Stegostoma tigrinum: one gene and its partner. The protein of the gene in region 1 interacts with the protein of each later gene in a pairwise test. Links are inferred from orthologs where the notes say so. Each region holds a gene or a part of one and is shown on either strand. Other genes may lie near its edges.

Region 1 (7,291 bases):
CTAATGCAGTATATCCCTTAATATCCAGAGTTGACAGGATTTAATGTTCTCACCCTTTATTGAAACACATTGGTTCTGTATCTCCATATTTCCTTATTGAACGCATCCTACTGTCCTTGGCCGGATTTGCAAGTATCTACTTACAGTACACTCTGCCCAAAGCATATCTGACCTCATTGAAATAATCCACCCCTCAGCCGAGACCTTTGATTTCAGGCCCAACCTTGTTCTTTTCCATAACAATCATGACTTGAATGGACTTACAATTGCTGCTTGCTAAATGTGTTCCAGTAATACCTCAACCACTTGCCCAGCATCCTTCCCTACAATTAAGTACAGAACTGCCTCCTCTCTCGTAAAGAGCTCTCTGTACTTGTTTAAAAAGTTGTTCAGGATGCATTTTAAGAATTTCTGCTCCAGACCTTTCACACAATGACTACTCTAGTTAATTTTGGGCAAGTTGAAATCCCCTATCACAACCCTACTACTTATACACTTTTGAAATGTGCCTACATATCTGCTCCTTTATTTCTCTCAGGCTGTTAGGAGCCTACAGTACACTCCAGCAATGTGATTGGTCTTGTGTGTTTTTTTTAAACACCACCAACATGGCTTCATTTGAGGAGCCTTCGAAGATGTCATTCTTCCTGAAATAGTTCTATCGAGAAATAACATCTTCCTCTTTTACCTCCTTCCCTGTCCCACCTATAGACCCTGTAACCTGGAACATTGTTAACAGACGATCAAGACTGGCAGCTGTCTTACAAACAGCAGTGACATCATACCCTCATGTTGTGCCCTCAGCTCAACTGCCTTGTTCATCAGACACCAAGCATTAAAATAAATACCTTTCAACCTTGCCAAACTCCCTGCACCTTAACAATCTATAATATGACTCGCTTGCTGTCACTTCTAATTTTGGACATTCATCTTCATCTGAACATTCTGTCTGGATCTGTCAAGTCAGCCCTGCTACCTAATGGGTCTTCAATCTACTTCCTATCTCCCCAGATTCTGCTTTCAGGACATCGTCCCCTTTCCAACCCATGTTTTTGGTACCGCTACGTACAACGATCCCTGGCTGTTTGTCCTCCCATTTCAGCAGTAGGGTATTCTGGGTCAGTGGCATCCCTGACCTTGGCACCAGCAAGGTGACATACCATTCTGGAGATAATGGGAACTGCAGATGCTGGAGAATCAGAGATAACAAAGTGTGAAGCTGGATGAATACAGCAGGCCAAGCAGCATCTCAGGAGCACAAAAGTTGACGTTTCGGGTCTAGACCCTTCATCAGAGAGGGGGTTGGGGAGAGGGTTCTGAAATAAATGGGGTCGGGGGGGGGGGGGGGAGGCCTCCCCCTCTCTCCCTATTTATTTCAGAACCCTCTCCCCAACCCCCTCTCTGATGAAGGGTCTAGACCCGAAACATCAACTTTTGTGCTCCTGAGATGCTGCTTGGCCTGCTGTATTCATCCAGCTTCACACTTTGTTATACTATTCTGGAGTCTCTTTTGTGGTGACAGAAATGTCCCCCTTACAATCGAATTGAATCCCCTGCCATCCTTTTACATCCTCACGTGCAGTGTGCCCACCCACAGTGCCACGAATTTGATTACCATTGCTTTCCCCTGCACAATCATTTCCCCCAGCAGTATCCAAAACAGTATGTCTGTTAGAAAGTGAGATGGGCACAGGGGACTCCTACCTTCCTGTGCTCTGTCTAATGGTCATCCATGCTCACTGAATGTGTTTTCCACAACCTGCTCAGAATTACAGATTCTCCAAAATGCAGATCACCAATAGCTGTGGCTGGACACACTTCTGTACACATTTTCACCAGGGCAACTGAAGCTTCCATGATTGCCACATAGTTACAGCAGGAGTATATCACAGGTGCAAGCTTTGCTGCCGTGACTTTTTTTAAAGTACATTTGTAACTCTTTTTTTCTAATAAAAAAGATTGTGATAATTTAGAATACTGCTAACTTACTTTCCCATGCTATGTACTTTCCTTACCCTACTTTACTTATTTATATTTCTTAATTATACTGGACCTGACTTTCATTTGTTTCTGTTGTTTCTCAGTTAATCTCTTCTTTCAAAAAGTATACACTGCTTAAAAAAAATCACAAACCAATCAATATGCCACCAGTGATGTCACTGTTTTGATTTGTTTTCCCAATCAGCAGATCTCTGAAGCTGCAGCTATTAAACTAGGGCTCCTTTCCCTCAGCTGAAGGAACTTACAAACTATGGACAAATAAAAACAGAAAGCATCAGGGAAGGGAATTACTGCCCTGAGTTTAACAAGATAGGGCGGGAAATCTCACAAAACCCTACAATGAAAAACTCTCCAAAAAACTTGATGCAACCTGGACTTAGCAAAATGATTCAGCCTGTGATCTACCAAGCTAGATTCTACCCTGGAAACTGACTTGACCAATATTAGATGAGAGAAAGCTGAGTTAACTTGGGAGTGGTTCATAATCTGAAGATGTTGAATTCAATATTAATTTCAGAAGGTTGTAAAGTGCTTAGTCTGAAAATGAGATGTTGTTGTTCCAGTTTATGTTATTTGCTGCAGCATTGCAGCACACTGACAACTTTAAAAGAAACACAAATTCCTCATTGAGGTAACAAGGTGTAGAGCTGGATGAACACAGCATCAGAGGAGGAGGAAGGCTGACGTTTCGGGCCGAGGCCCTTCTTCAGGCCCTGGACCATTTTCTGAAGAAGGGTTTCGGCCCAAAACGTCAGCCTGCCTGCTTCTAAGATGCTGCTTGGCCTGCTGTGTTCATCCAGCTCCACACTTTGTTATCTCGGATTCTCCAGCATTTGCAGTTCCCATTATCTCTTTGCTCAAAGCTAAACGTGGAACAGTTTAATACCATTATTTACTTGGAGGAACAAAAACAAACTTGTGATGTCCTGGAAAAATGAGACATGCTGCTGAATTGTTTTATCACATACGGAACTGAGTACAATCACTAGAATACCATATGTCAAAGGAAACAAATTATACTGTGTGAAGAAAGGATACTGAATGGTTGGCAAATAGATTCCGAATGGTAATGCACCAAGCAACATCTCCCCAAAGAAAATGTTAATTGTAGTTCTTTTTAAATGTAAACTTGGCAAGTCTCACCCAATCATGACCGTTTGCCAACCAATTAGCATTCTATTCTCATGCAGTATAAATTGTAGCGGCCTTTGAAGTTTGATATTCTCATGATTCTGTCCTGTCGACTGCAAGATAAAATAAAAAGCTAGTTTAAAAAAAGCACACTTTTTTTGGAGATAGTAAGAGCTGCCAATGCTGGAGTCAGAGATAACACAGTGTGGAGCTGGAGGAGCACAGCAAGCCAGGCAGCATGAGAGGAGCAGGAAAGTTGACATTTTGGGTCAGGACCCTTCTTTAGAAATGGGGCAGAACTGCCTGGCCTGCTGTGCTCCCCAGCTCCACATTATGTTATATAGCACATTTTTTTCTTAGTAGTAATAGTATTCGAAGTCCATTATTTCACTCCCGAAAGCATTCTGATTTTTGAAAGAATTATCACTTATTCCTCCCTGGTCAGCTAATTTATACGTTGAATCACAGATCTCATGTACCCTTAAAAAAAAGAAAAAAGCAGATGCTAGACTTCAGGACCAAAAACAGGAATTGCTGGCAGAACTGACTAAGTCTGGCAGAATCTGTGGAGAGAAATCAGTTAACGTTTTGGGTCCAGAAACCCAGAACAGACCTATTCAGTTTCTCCAGCAATTTCTGTTTTTGTTGTGTACACTTACCCTTGGCCAAAGCCTCAGCATATTTCTCTTCTGTGATATTCAAGTTGTTTACATAGGTAGCATGATGCTTGCTATGGTGCAGCTGCATTATTTCTGCACTGATATGTGGCTCCAATGCACCATAGTCAAAAGGAAGATCAGGCAGTGTGTGTTTTTGTTTGGAGGCTAAACAATGAAAATCTGGAGAAATGCTGGAGTAACATCTGCATGAAAAATGGAAGTTATAATCAGTCAAATTAAAAACATATTCACTTTCAAATGCTTGTTCACTTTTGAAACATTAACTACTTTAAATGCTTTCAAGCTTCTGATATTTATCAAGGAAAAAAGTTGAACGGGGTGGACGAAAATGAGTGAAGTGGGACAATGAACAGGAGGGGAGAGGGACAGAGGAAGCAAGTGGGGGAAGGGCGAAACGGAGTAAAGGGGTGGACGGGGGTGGAGATGGGGAGGGAAAGGGATTTGGGGCAGCGAGAAAAGTCGTTGAGACGGTACTCAATCAGCCTTCCGGGAGGATTTTTGCAGAAGCGATGTCAACGTCGAAAGCTTTACTCCAACGACATGAGCGTGATTTTGCCGGTGACTGCCCTACGCGTGCTTTATTTTTAAACTAACAAATATCACACTCACCTTTGAAGATAATTGAGTTTGTTTAACATATTCAGATTTTAGTGTGCGCTGGACAACGTCGAAAGGCACAAACACAAAACCTGTGCTTGCAATCGTACAACACAACGCCCTTGACCTTTGAACTCAGACCCAACCATTTCATTATTTTTTAATTGAATTTTTTTTTTAAAAATCACCTAAATTCAGGAATAATAGCAAAACTAAAACAAGTATTTTGTCGGAAGTATTTATTCTTAAAAAATCGCAAGCATGAATCTTGGTAACTCATCCCTACTACAATCCCTCCAAATTTTTTTGGCACAGCAAAAGCGCTCTTCCGACAACCCAAAGCAGAGGTTTATTTCTGTTGTGCGGTTCTGCGTGTTACTCCGCTACTGAATTTTGAAGTGCGTGTTTCCTTCCCGTGACGCGTCTTAGACGTGAATGGCGGTCGTGGTGACAGCTTGTGCTAGGTTGGCTTGAACTCTGCCCAGCATTAATAGGCATTCAATAGGTTGAATGTGGTACTGTTCGATTTTTCAAGGAAGTCGGGTGAGTGAGTGAACCGGCTGGCTTGCGGGCGCGGCAGTGCGTCAGTTGGATTCGGCGGCTGCTAGGCCGGAGACTCGCGGCGCCATTTTATCTAGGGTTTTTTATTCTACCAAACGACGATTAAGTCAGAAAACGCATACATCTCTGAAGAGCTGGTGATCTAAGCCCCTCCTTACACCCGGGGCCTTGCAGCCAGGCTCACGGTTAGTGTTTTTGGACATAGTGTTTTAGTTTGTGTCTGGAGTTTCTAAAAGTGAGGGTAGCAAGTGTCTTTCCTTGTTATAAGCGTGCACTTGTTTTAAATGACACTAAGCGTGTTTCTTGCTCGTACCACCTCGAAAAATAGCCCTCGAACTAGGTAATGCATGCCGACCATTAGGGCATCGGATAGGATGAGCTTGTTTGTTACAGGGTAAGTTGTTATTGGGCCTAGTAGATTCTACATTCACGGAAATGGGGTATAATAGCGATCCTTTGCAAAAATGAAAGGATTGAGCTTGTGTCATGATCGATAGGAAACCGTTTCTATGCTGCAGAGCGGAAGCCGCCATTAATTTCCGAAATGAGTTATAGATTTTTTTCTCCCAAACGGGCATTTGCCGAATGCCACGGTGGTTATTAAGTAGACATGCTTTTTCTTTCTCGTTGAGATTTGAAACTATTGAGAGTTTCTTAGAGTAACCGATTCTACGTTTGAACTATTGAGTTATCTTTAATAGGTTTTCCTTTGCGTGGATAACAGAAAAGGCTTGCTTACTTGGCTGTATGTGTGTCACCTTTTATGCTACTCAAATTGGGCTGTTATAATTAAAAGGGGAATTTTTTCTGAAAAGTTGAAATAAAGTAGAAAGAAAAGCTTTGACCGCTGCAGTATCTATTGCCGCAGTGTGCCTTTTGTTTCAGTTGCCTTTTGCATGCACTTTGTATTGAGAACACTACTGAGAAGTGAAAAGGCACAAAATGAAGTTGTCGCAAGATGGTTGTCAAATGAGAAGGTTTGAGAAAATCAAGAGATTCCGGAGTACAAAGGATGTTGTAATCTCCAATTTCACTCTAATCTGAAATCAGTGTTTGGTCAAATAATGCAAAAAAAACTAAACATTTTTAGTCATCGAGATAGTCACCTGAAATTATTTTATCACAAACTGTTGGATGAGTTGTATCCTTTCTTTATAAAACTAAACCAGGCGTCTCTGTCAATCTCCTCAGGAATATTTTATAAATCTGTTCCTAATAGATGATGTTACAAGGACACGGACCTAAGGTTTTGGGCATGGGAGAAAGAATTGCTTTGCAGGATAAAGCTGGCTACTTCTGTATAGTCTGAAATTAAATACAGTAAATGTCTAAAGAGACTTGGTGGGTCAGGTGAATGGAGCACAAAAATGCCACGAACTGGTGCACAAAATAATACAAAGTACTGAGTCTCCAAATCTAGGAACTACTTTAGGAGGATTTTATTCGCATTGGGGCGAGTACACTGTCAGTCGGCAAGAACAGTGCATGGACTTCATTGAGCAGAGAGGGGGATGGGGGGAGGGAACTGGAATAAATAGGGAGAGAGGGGGAGGCGGACCGAAGATGGAGAGTAAAGAAGATAGGTGGAGAGGGTGTAGGTGGGGAGGTAGGGAGGGGATAGGTCAGTCCAGGGAAGACGGACAGGTCAAGGAGGTGGGATGAGGTTAGTAGGTAGCTGGGGGTGCGGCTTGGGGTGGGAGGAAGGGATGGGTGAGAGGAAGAACCGGTTAGGGAGGCAGAGACAGGTTGGACTGGTTTTGGGATGCAGTGGGTAGAGGGGAAGAGCTGGGCTGGTTGTGTGGTGCAGTGGGGGGAGGGGATGAACTGGGCTGGTTGAGGGATGCAGTGGGGGAAGGGGAGATTTTGAAACTGGTGAAGTCCACATTGATACCATATGGCTGCAGGGTTCCCAGGCGGAATATGAGTTGCTGTTCCTGCAACCTTCGGGTGGCATCATTGTGGCATCCTGGACACCACCCCCAGGCCTCCTACCCTCCCTCGACCTCTTCATCTCCAACTGCCGTCGAACCTGGACACCACCCCCAGGCCTCCTACCCTCCCTCGACCTCTTCATCTCCAACTGCCGTCGAACAACCAGCCCAGCTCTTCCCCTCTACCCACTGCATCCCAAAACCAGTCCAACCTGTCTCTGCCTCCCTAACCGGTTCTTCCTCTCACCCATCCCTTCCTCCCACCCCAAGCCGCACCCCCAGCTACCTACTAACCTCATCCCACCTCCTTGACCTGTCCGTCTTCCCTGGACTGACCTATCCCCTCCCTACCTCCCCACCTACACCCTCTCCACCTATCTTCTTTACTCT
Region 2 (7,212 bases), on another chromosome or scaffold:
TTATAGATATATTTAACAAACCTATTCAGTGACGTTTGACACACCTTTAGGGTAAATAAGATTTGAACATGGGTGTCTTAGCTCAGATGTGACTTCACTACCTCTGCTCCGGAAGAACCCCAACATCCCGAGTGCAAATTGTACATAGTGATGAAATGATCCGTTTGCTGGGTTAACAACGAACAGAAGATCACTTGTCAATCTTTTACACGGACGAGATCCTCTTCAACTTCCAATGCCGGGGCTTAACAGACTAATCTTCACCTTTACCTTTGGCATGTTGCTTTTCCATCTGTTACTGACCAGTCTGGGGAGCTGAACAAATGACCAGGTCGATAGTCCAGGTTGGGGAGACACTGAATGAAATCACTTACCTCACCCACAGCAACTTCTAAAATAAAGTGACGGGGCCGATTGTAAAAGCCGAACCACAAATCAAAATAAAACAAATTTGTCATTATTTCAAAATGGAGTAACGTCCAGTTCAAAACTAGTGAAATAGGATCAAGGTTCAAATCAGTCGAGGAAAAGCACGTCACTCTGTACAAAGAGAGATTCAATTTATCGAGGGAAGTATGTGAAAATAATTGTTAACTGCGCCAATTGACGTTTTCGTGCTTCTTAAGAAAAGTGTTTATTTTTCATTCTCTGAAAGTTTGGAATGTCAAAGGCAATCGTTCCAAACGTGTTTATTCCAAAAAAAAGTTCACCTGCAGAATCGGGGGTTTAAGTATAATAAATAAGGTAGTTAATTGGACATTTTCCAGCCCAAAGGGAAACTGCCTTTTCTTTGGTCGAGGAAGGTGCTTTCAGTCAGGCACGTTTAGTTGGAGTGGTCCTAATTCCCAAAGGTAGAGGCACATTGTGAAAGTAATAGATGGTCGGTCCTCGCAAATCCTTACACCGGGCTGTGAAATTAAATGAATGACGTTCTTTACACAGATTTGAATTGTAACCTTCATTCTGAGTTTCGCGCCGTTTCATGAAAGATGTTGAAATCAATTGGCCTTGTTTGAAGTCAAAGAAAACTTCCAAATTGACAGTAAATCCGCTAGGAGTTCAAACTGGACACACCACTCTTTGGTTTCTCGCACTCTTTGGATGCATACACGAAGTTCGCAAGTTCTGACAATCCAAACAATGAAAAACCAAAATTCCATTCCCCGGGGGAAAAAAAACCCACGGGAACGCCGCCTTCAATGAAATTACTTACAGCAAATGTGCATCAAAACCATAGCTTTACACCAACTCTCAAAGTACATTGTGACGTGGGACGCTGGCTAGCTTTATTATCATTCCTCTCTATCGAGGCGATTAATTTCGCCCGGGTCTTTTTGCAGAATGATTACTTTTAGTTTTTCAAGTTAAGTCGTCCTGCTGCTTCAACATCCTTCAAATAAATCTGATCGCAGCACCGTTTTAACTCTCCTTAAGTTCCTCTCTTAATCTTCAGTTTTATTCGCTTTTAAACAAATCGCTTCAAATTGTTTCGAAATCATTTTCAAATTTCAAAATTTGACTGCTTATTTTCAAACAAATAGTCGTGTATTTATATCTACATGAAACTTTTAACTTGACGTTCTTTGTTTTAAATTCGAAAGTTCTTTAATTTTTTGTCTAAGCGCTCCCAGTTTCTGAGGGGAAACTGCATTTAAAAGGAAAACGCCAGACATTTACACATTCGGTCAATTTAATATTTGGTGAAATATAACAACTCTTAGTCAATACTGTACTGATTAGCTCTAGGCTCTTTCTAACAGTGACCCGATATCGAGTCACACCCCGGAGGGATTTGCGAAGAAACGTGCTGTGTAACTGGCTGGAGGAAAAATCAATAATATTTTTAAAGTAACACGCACTTTCCTTTCATATTGACAATGCCCAATTGAATTTAAAGCTGAGTAACTACCAGACTACAATGGATAATAACTAGAAACGACTTATCTTTCTCCTTGATAGTCTCTTAGGGGAAAATATGATGACTGTTTTTAAATCGTACAAAATTACATCAAATCTAATGCGTTCTTCTAAAAACTTCCGGTGAAAATTAGAGGAACATATTTTATAGAATACAATGATATAATTACAATATTGCAAATAGACGATTTTGTCTGAAATGATTGCTGTATTTCAGTAACTGTTCTCTGTGCTCACTGGTTAATAGATCTTTCCCCACGAAAACCTTTCATTTAACTGTGCTAATCTTCAAATATAGCTATAAAGTTTAAGAAAAAAGGATGTAGCAATAAATCTCAAGAAATAAAAGAATAATGCGTCATTTGATTGGACGTGTTGTGTTATCATGAACAGTTTTTCTTAAATCTGCCGGATGGTACAAACAGGCGTTTGCATGAAGGTGTTGGGAGCTGCATGGAGAGGGGATTTAGTTTTGCTCGAAACAAGTGATTTCCACTTTTTTTTAACTTTCATGTACACACTGATACTTAAGAAATCATAAGGATGCAATTAGGGCGAAAGTTCAAACGTCACAGGTTCACAATCGCAAGCCATTCCAGCAATTGCAAATTGCTATTTTCCATCCCGAGATTATTACTTAGAAGCCTACAAGAATAATAAATGCCCATGCTTTCCGCAAAGTAGTTTGAGGTAAATAATTAATCGTATTATTTTGTACGCTTGTAACCACGCGGTTTTGTTTTCCTAATGTTTGGTCTTGGAAAGAAAGGCGTGAGACCTGTTTGCGATTGCATCTGCGGCAAGTGTAATTTCGCATCTCAAAATATTTTACTTTGTACTGTACAGGGCGTGTAAACTCATTCAATAACTGGCACAGCACTGCACAGTAACTGCGTTCCATTACTTAGGAAGTGTTCTATGCAATAAGGTCACCACCTCCACTGTATAGTCGGTTATATCATTTACTAAATTAAGATCTAATCTGGGTAAAAATGCATTGCATATCTGCATTTTTCACAATTGTTTGCTTCAACCTTTTACTCTAAGGCTGTATTCCTGGCATTCGATTTAGCTTTCACCTGCTTCAATGAAAACAGATCTCAAGTTATCCCAGAGCTTTTTTTAAAAGAAAGCAAATTAAGTAGATCGCTGTTTAACAGACCGTCGGATTCCTGGACCGTGTGAAAATTAAAAGGAAAACATGTCAGGCAAAAAGTAATCGTCTGCGAGGGGAAAGTTCATTAACGTTTAAATGGTCGTTTATGTGCTGCTCGTTTCTTTAATGGATTGTGGTCTGTCACTTCGGAACTGATGCGTCTCTTCTGTTCTCCCTGCGTTTTTTTCGCGAAGCTAATAGTTTATCATATAGTCCCAATCGCAAATTCTCTGCACATCCATCAACAACCCCGTGTGGTGCGTTCACAAATAAAGATTAAATGATAAGTTGGTGGCTCACATTTTCGAACATTCTAGTGGAGATATTGTACATCAAACCATCGACAAATCAGCAGCCAATTGACATTTAAACTGAAAAAATGTTGCCCAAGTCGGAACAGTTTTAGTGATGTTCGGATTTTATAAAATAAAAATGCCTTTAAATAAAACATATGCAAGCATTTCGCTTATTTTCGGTCGTTTCAAATATCCCAAGCAAAATAAACGAAGCAGCTGGTTGCCCAGAAAGAGAACGTTTCGTGCTTTTGTTTTCAAACATCAAGCAACAGTTTAGATTGTACTTTGGGATCCCACAAGCAGATATAGTGATTCTGAAATCTCCGACAAATGCAGCGATAGCAAAGCGAAGCTAAATTAAAATACAGCGAGCTTTTGTTTTTGTTTGAAATATTACAATAACCTGAATATTCCAGGGAGTCAATTTCATCTCCATCCAGTATTCACGTGTACCTGTGATATTATGTTTATGTATACAGATGTTAAAGTTATGTAGTGTCTTATTCGACATTTTAGTTCGACTTACTGATCTGATCCACAGCCTCCATTATTGCAGAACAAGCTCTTCAGAAAATATAGAGGGGAAGTTTGGTTAGATTCACCACAGGCTTGAGTCGAATGATAGCGACTTTCGAAATTAGGGATGAATTACCCCTACATGCATCCCACCCCCCACCCCCGCTCCGCGCGCGCACACACACACACACACACACACAGACACACACCCTCGTCCCCATCGCTTCCTCCCTGCCCCCACCCCTTCGCCCAGATTGTTCCTCTCTCGCTAACTAATCGACAGATCGCACCACCGAGAGGGAGAGAGAGTGTGTGTGCGTGTGTGTGTGTGTGTGTGTGAGAGAGAGAAAGAGAGAATTGTACACACTGTGTGGACAGGGAAACTGGTCCATGTAACCAGGGAGGACGGATCTCGATCAGAGAGTTTTCAGGCTCCACCTCTCCGCAGTATTTGAGGCTCGGAGTCACCAATCCAATCCAACACATGTGCCATAGTGTTGCTGCTACTAAACACGCACAACTCGCCATCCTATCGTACATACCATTTGACAGCCTCAATACAATAGCCCTGCAGACTGTGTGAAGAGCTTGGAAGTTTGACCAACAAGAGGAGATCCCAGCCCTGGGAATATTGTGTTGGAGGGGGTGGAGGGTGGAACGGATTCATATAGAGAGGAGAACAAGAAATAAACGATTGATTCGTTTTGGTTAAAAGATTGTTTGGACACCATGGGTTCCGATGTGCGGGACCTGAACGCTTTGCTGCCGGCAGTCTCCACTCTGACCCCGGGGAACAGCAGCTGTACCATGCCGGTGAGCAGCGCTCCTCAATGGGCTCCGGTGCTGGACTTTCACCCGGGGGCTTCTTACAGCGCTCCGATCGGCCACCCGTCCTTCATCAAGCAAGAGCCGAGCTGGAGCGCCAGCGAGCCCCACGACGACCACTGCCTCAGCGCTTTCACTGTTCACTTCTCCGGTCAGTTCACCGGCACGGCCGGGGCCTGTCGTTACGGAGCGTTCGGGGCTCCTCCGCCCAGTCAGGCGCCTCCGAGTCAGGCGAGAATGTTCACCAACGGCGGTTACCTCAACCATTGTATGGACACGCAACAGCCAGCCAGGAATCAGGGTAAGAAAACGGCAGCAGAAATGGGAAAAAAAAAATTTACCATTTCCTAGCCCCCACCCCCAAAAACTTTCCATTCAACTAGGGGTAAAATTCAGAGACGGCTGCAGAACTGGTTATTAGCAACGAGTGTATCAACAAAAAGAATCCTAAAAGTATTCAGCTCGGCAGATTCCATTTGTGAAATTAGGCCCTCCTAATTCCCGTCACCAATGTGACAAAACAGAATTTAAACCAAGTCAGATAGATTTAGTTCAGATGTTAGCGGGGGTTTCACTGCAGCAATGTAACTGTTAATAATATGTATTTCAGCGCACTTTTTCCCTTAAAAATGTTGAGATCGGTACTACGTAGAATCGGGCACCCGTTGCAAACCACGTTTGTAGCTAAAATGCAAAGGCGTTTGAAAGTTCTTTCCGTACGACACAAAGTGTTTCCACTTCTTCATTTTGCGTTTCCAGTTCACGTCTCTCAAAAGGCTTCACGCTCCCAACTTATTTTCTGAAGCGGAGCGACTTTTACTGGTCCGGCGCGGTGTACATTTTTTAAAAACCAGCTCTGAGCACTTCATTTTTGCAAAGAAATCCTCAGGCGGAAATCCGAAAGATGGGTTATGTACTTTTTTAAACTCCGGCACCCGGCTCAGATGTCTCCAAACCACAGTCCTGTGTTGCGTACAGTGAAAACTGTGTTTCATTTGTCAAAGTAAATTGGATCAATGGACGTAATTTTGAGGGAAGTTGAAACATAATTGCTAGAAAGACTGTAGTATTTATGTGATTGTAAGCATCAATGAGATGTTCCCAGAGGCACATAAGCAATTGCGAGAATCGACAAAATGTGCATGTATCGACATTAACCCTGTGTATTTAGTGGGGTGTAATATTGTGAGTGCTTTCTGCAGATTGAAGTATCAGAGGATATGAGTGATTATAGATGATTCTTTGTTGCCATTTATGTTGTATTAAAGAGTTGCCTTGCAGAAGCTCGTTTCTCATTCATGGGTGGCAAGGGAAGTGGGGGTGGGGTGTGGAATAATGTTTCCTCAAATAGTGATACCTGGAGGATTGGGTCAAAAAGAAACAAGTTTTCGTTGTATGAAAACGCACGTTATATTGAGATTGAATTGAAACATTTGAGGCACCTTCAATTTAATACACGCGCAGTCTTCTGACAAAGCTTTAAATGGGATTATCAATTAAAAAAAAACAAGTCGTTAATGAAAGTGCAACAAATGCAGAACAGTTTGTGATTACTGGTCAGTGAGTAGGATGAACATAGGGGGTTGAAAACTGAGAGATAAAAGCCGAACGGGGAAAGAGATGAGCGGGTAGACGATTAAAAAGTGCAAGGCATTTGTTTTAATGCAATAATCTAAATCCCCATGTGTAGAAAATCGCAGATCACCCGTGGCTGCTGCTGAGTTGCAATCATTTTACATAGAAAGCTCCTCTGCGCTATGCAAAAGCGGGCCGCGCATCAGGTATTAAAACGAAAGATATTTTTTTCTAGATGTTGGAGATATTCTCACTGCCATCCTTAATACAACATTTTTTTCTTCAGTGGATTTCAAGAGAAATCCTGCATTGTTCCACCACCCCCATATCTGATATCACTTGCAATGTATCTCTTTTAAGCTGCCGCTTTTACAAATATTACTTTTACAGAAATTTCACAGATTTTACTTATACAAATCCGCCGATTTTCTTTTCTGGAATATAATAATGGGTCCTGTGCCCTCTGCTCACAGCTGCCCGGGGAAACAAGCCCGGAATTAATAAATAACTTTTCCCTTCACGTGGATATTGCTCCACTCGAGAATTCCTCCTTTGTGGAGGCCGAAATAAACAGCAAATAAACAGGAATCCGAACGAATTTGAAACGAACGGACGCAGCGACTGGCTGTTTGCTGAGTCGGGCTCTCGCGCAGCAGGGCAGAATTCACCTGAAAATGCGATGCTTGGATCATTTCTGCCTAACTGCGCTTATTGACAATTTGGGGCGTTTCTAAGGTTTTTAATTGGGGTTCTTGAATGCGAGATAATGCGCTTTTGTTTCTTGATGCCCCCACAATATGCTGGTGAATAACATGAGGATGAGTGAGGCCGGGGTGCTGCATTATCGCCGGCATCAACCAGCTGGGCTGAATGGCCTGCTCTTGTTTTCTATTTATTCAAAAAGGTACAGAGGAAGGCTGCAGCCTG

What was found.
Region 2: the proteins of wtap (region 1) and Wilms tumor protein homolog interact in binary tests that used the Homo sapiens proteins (3 or more experiments, as listed by UniProt). The link is inferred for Stegostoma tigrinum from reciprocal best matches to the Homo sapiens genes WTAP and WT1.

The regions. Positions count from the first base shown.
Region 1 is NC_081362.1:33,421,791-33,429,081, reverse strand, and holds the start of wtap (pre-mRNA-splicing regulator WTAP), read left to right. Parts: upstream 1-4,285; 5' UTR 4,286-4,321; coding exon 4,322-4,370; intron 4,371-4,421; coding exon of another isoform or gene 4,422-4,450; exon of another isoform or gene 4,451-4,557; intron 4,558-4,743; exon of another isoform or gene 4,744-4,952; intron 4,953-4,965; exon of another isoform or gene 4,966-5,155; intron 5,156-5,174; exon of another isoform or gene 5,175-5,364; intron 5,365-7,291. Other genes in the region: sod2 (superoxide dismutase [Mn], mitochondrial), read right to left, coding at 3,792-3,994, 4,422-4,450. UniProt on the Homo sapiens protein: Associated component of the WMM complex, a complex that mediates N6-methyladenosine (m6A) methylation of RNAs, a modification that plays a role in the efficiency of mRNA splicing and RNA processing.
Region 2 is NC_081370.1:43,239,804-43,247,015, reverse strand, and holds the start of Wilms tumor protein homolog, read left to right. Parts: upstream 1-4,193; 5' UTR 4,194-4,614; coding exon 4,615-5,011; intron 5,012-7,212. UniProt on the Homo sapiens protein: Transcription factor that plays an important role in cellular development and cell survival. Recognizes and binds to the DNA sequence 5'-GCG(T/G)GGGCG-3'. Regulates the expression of numerous target genes, including EPO.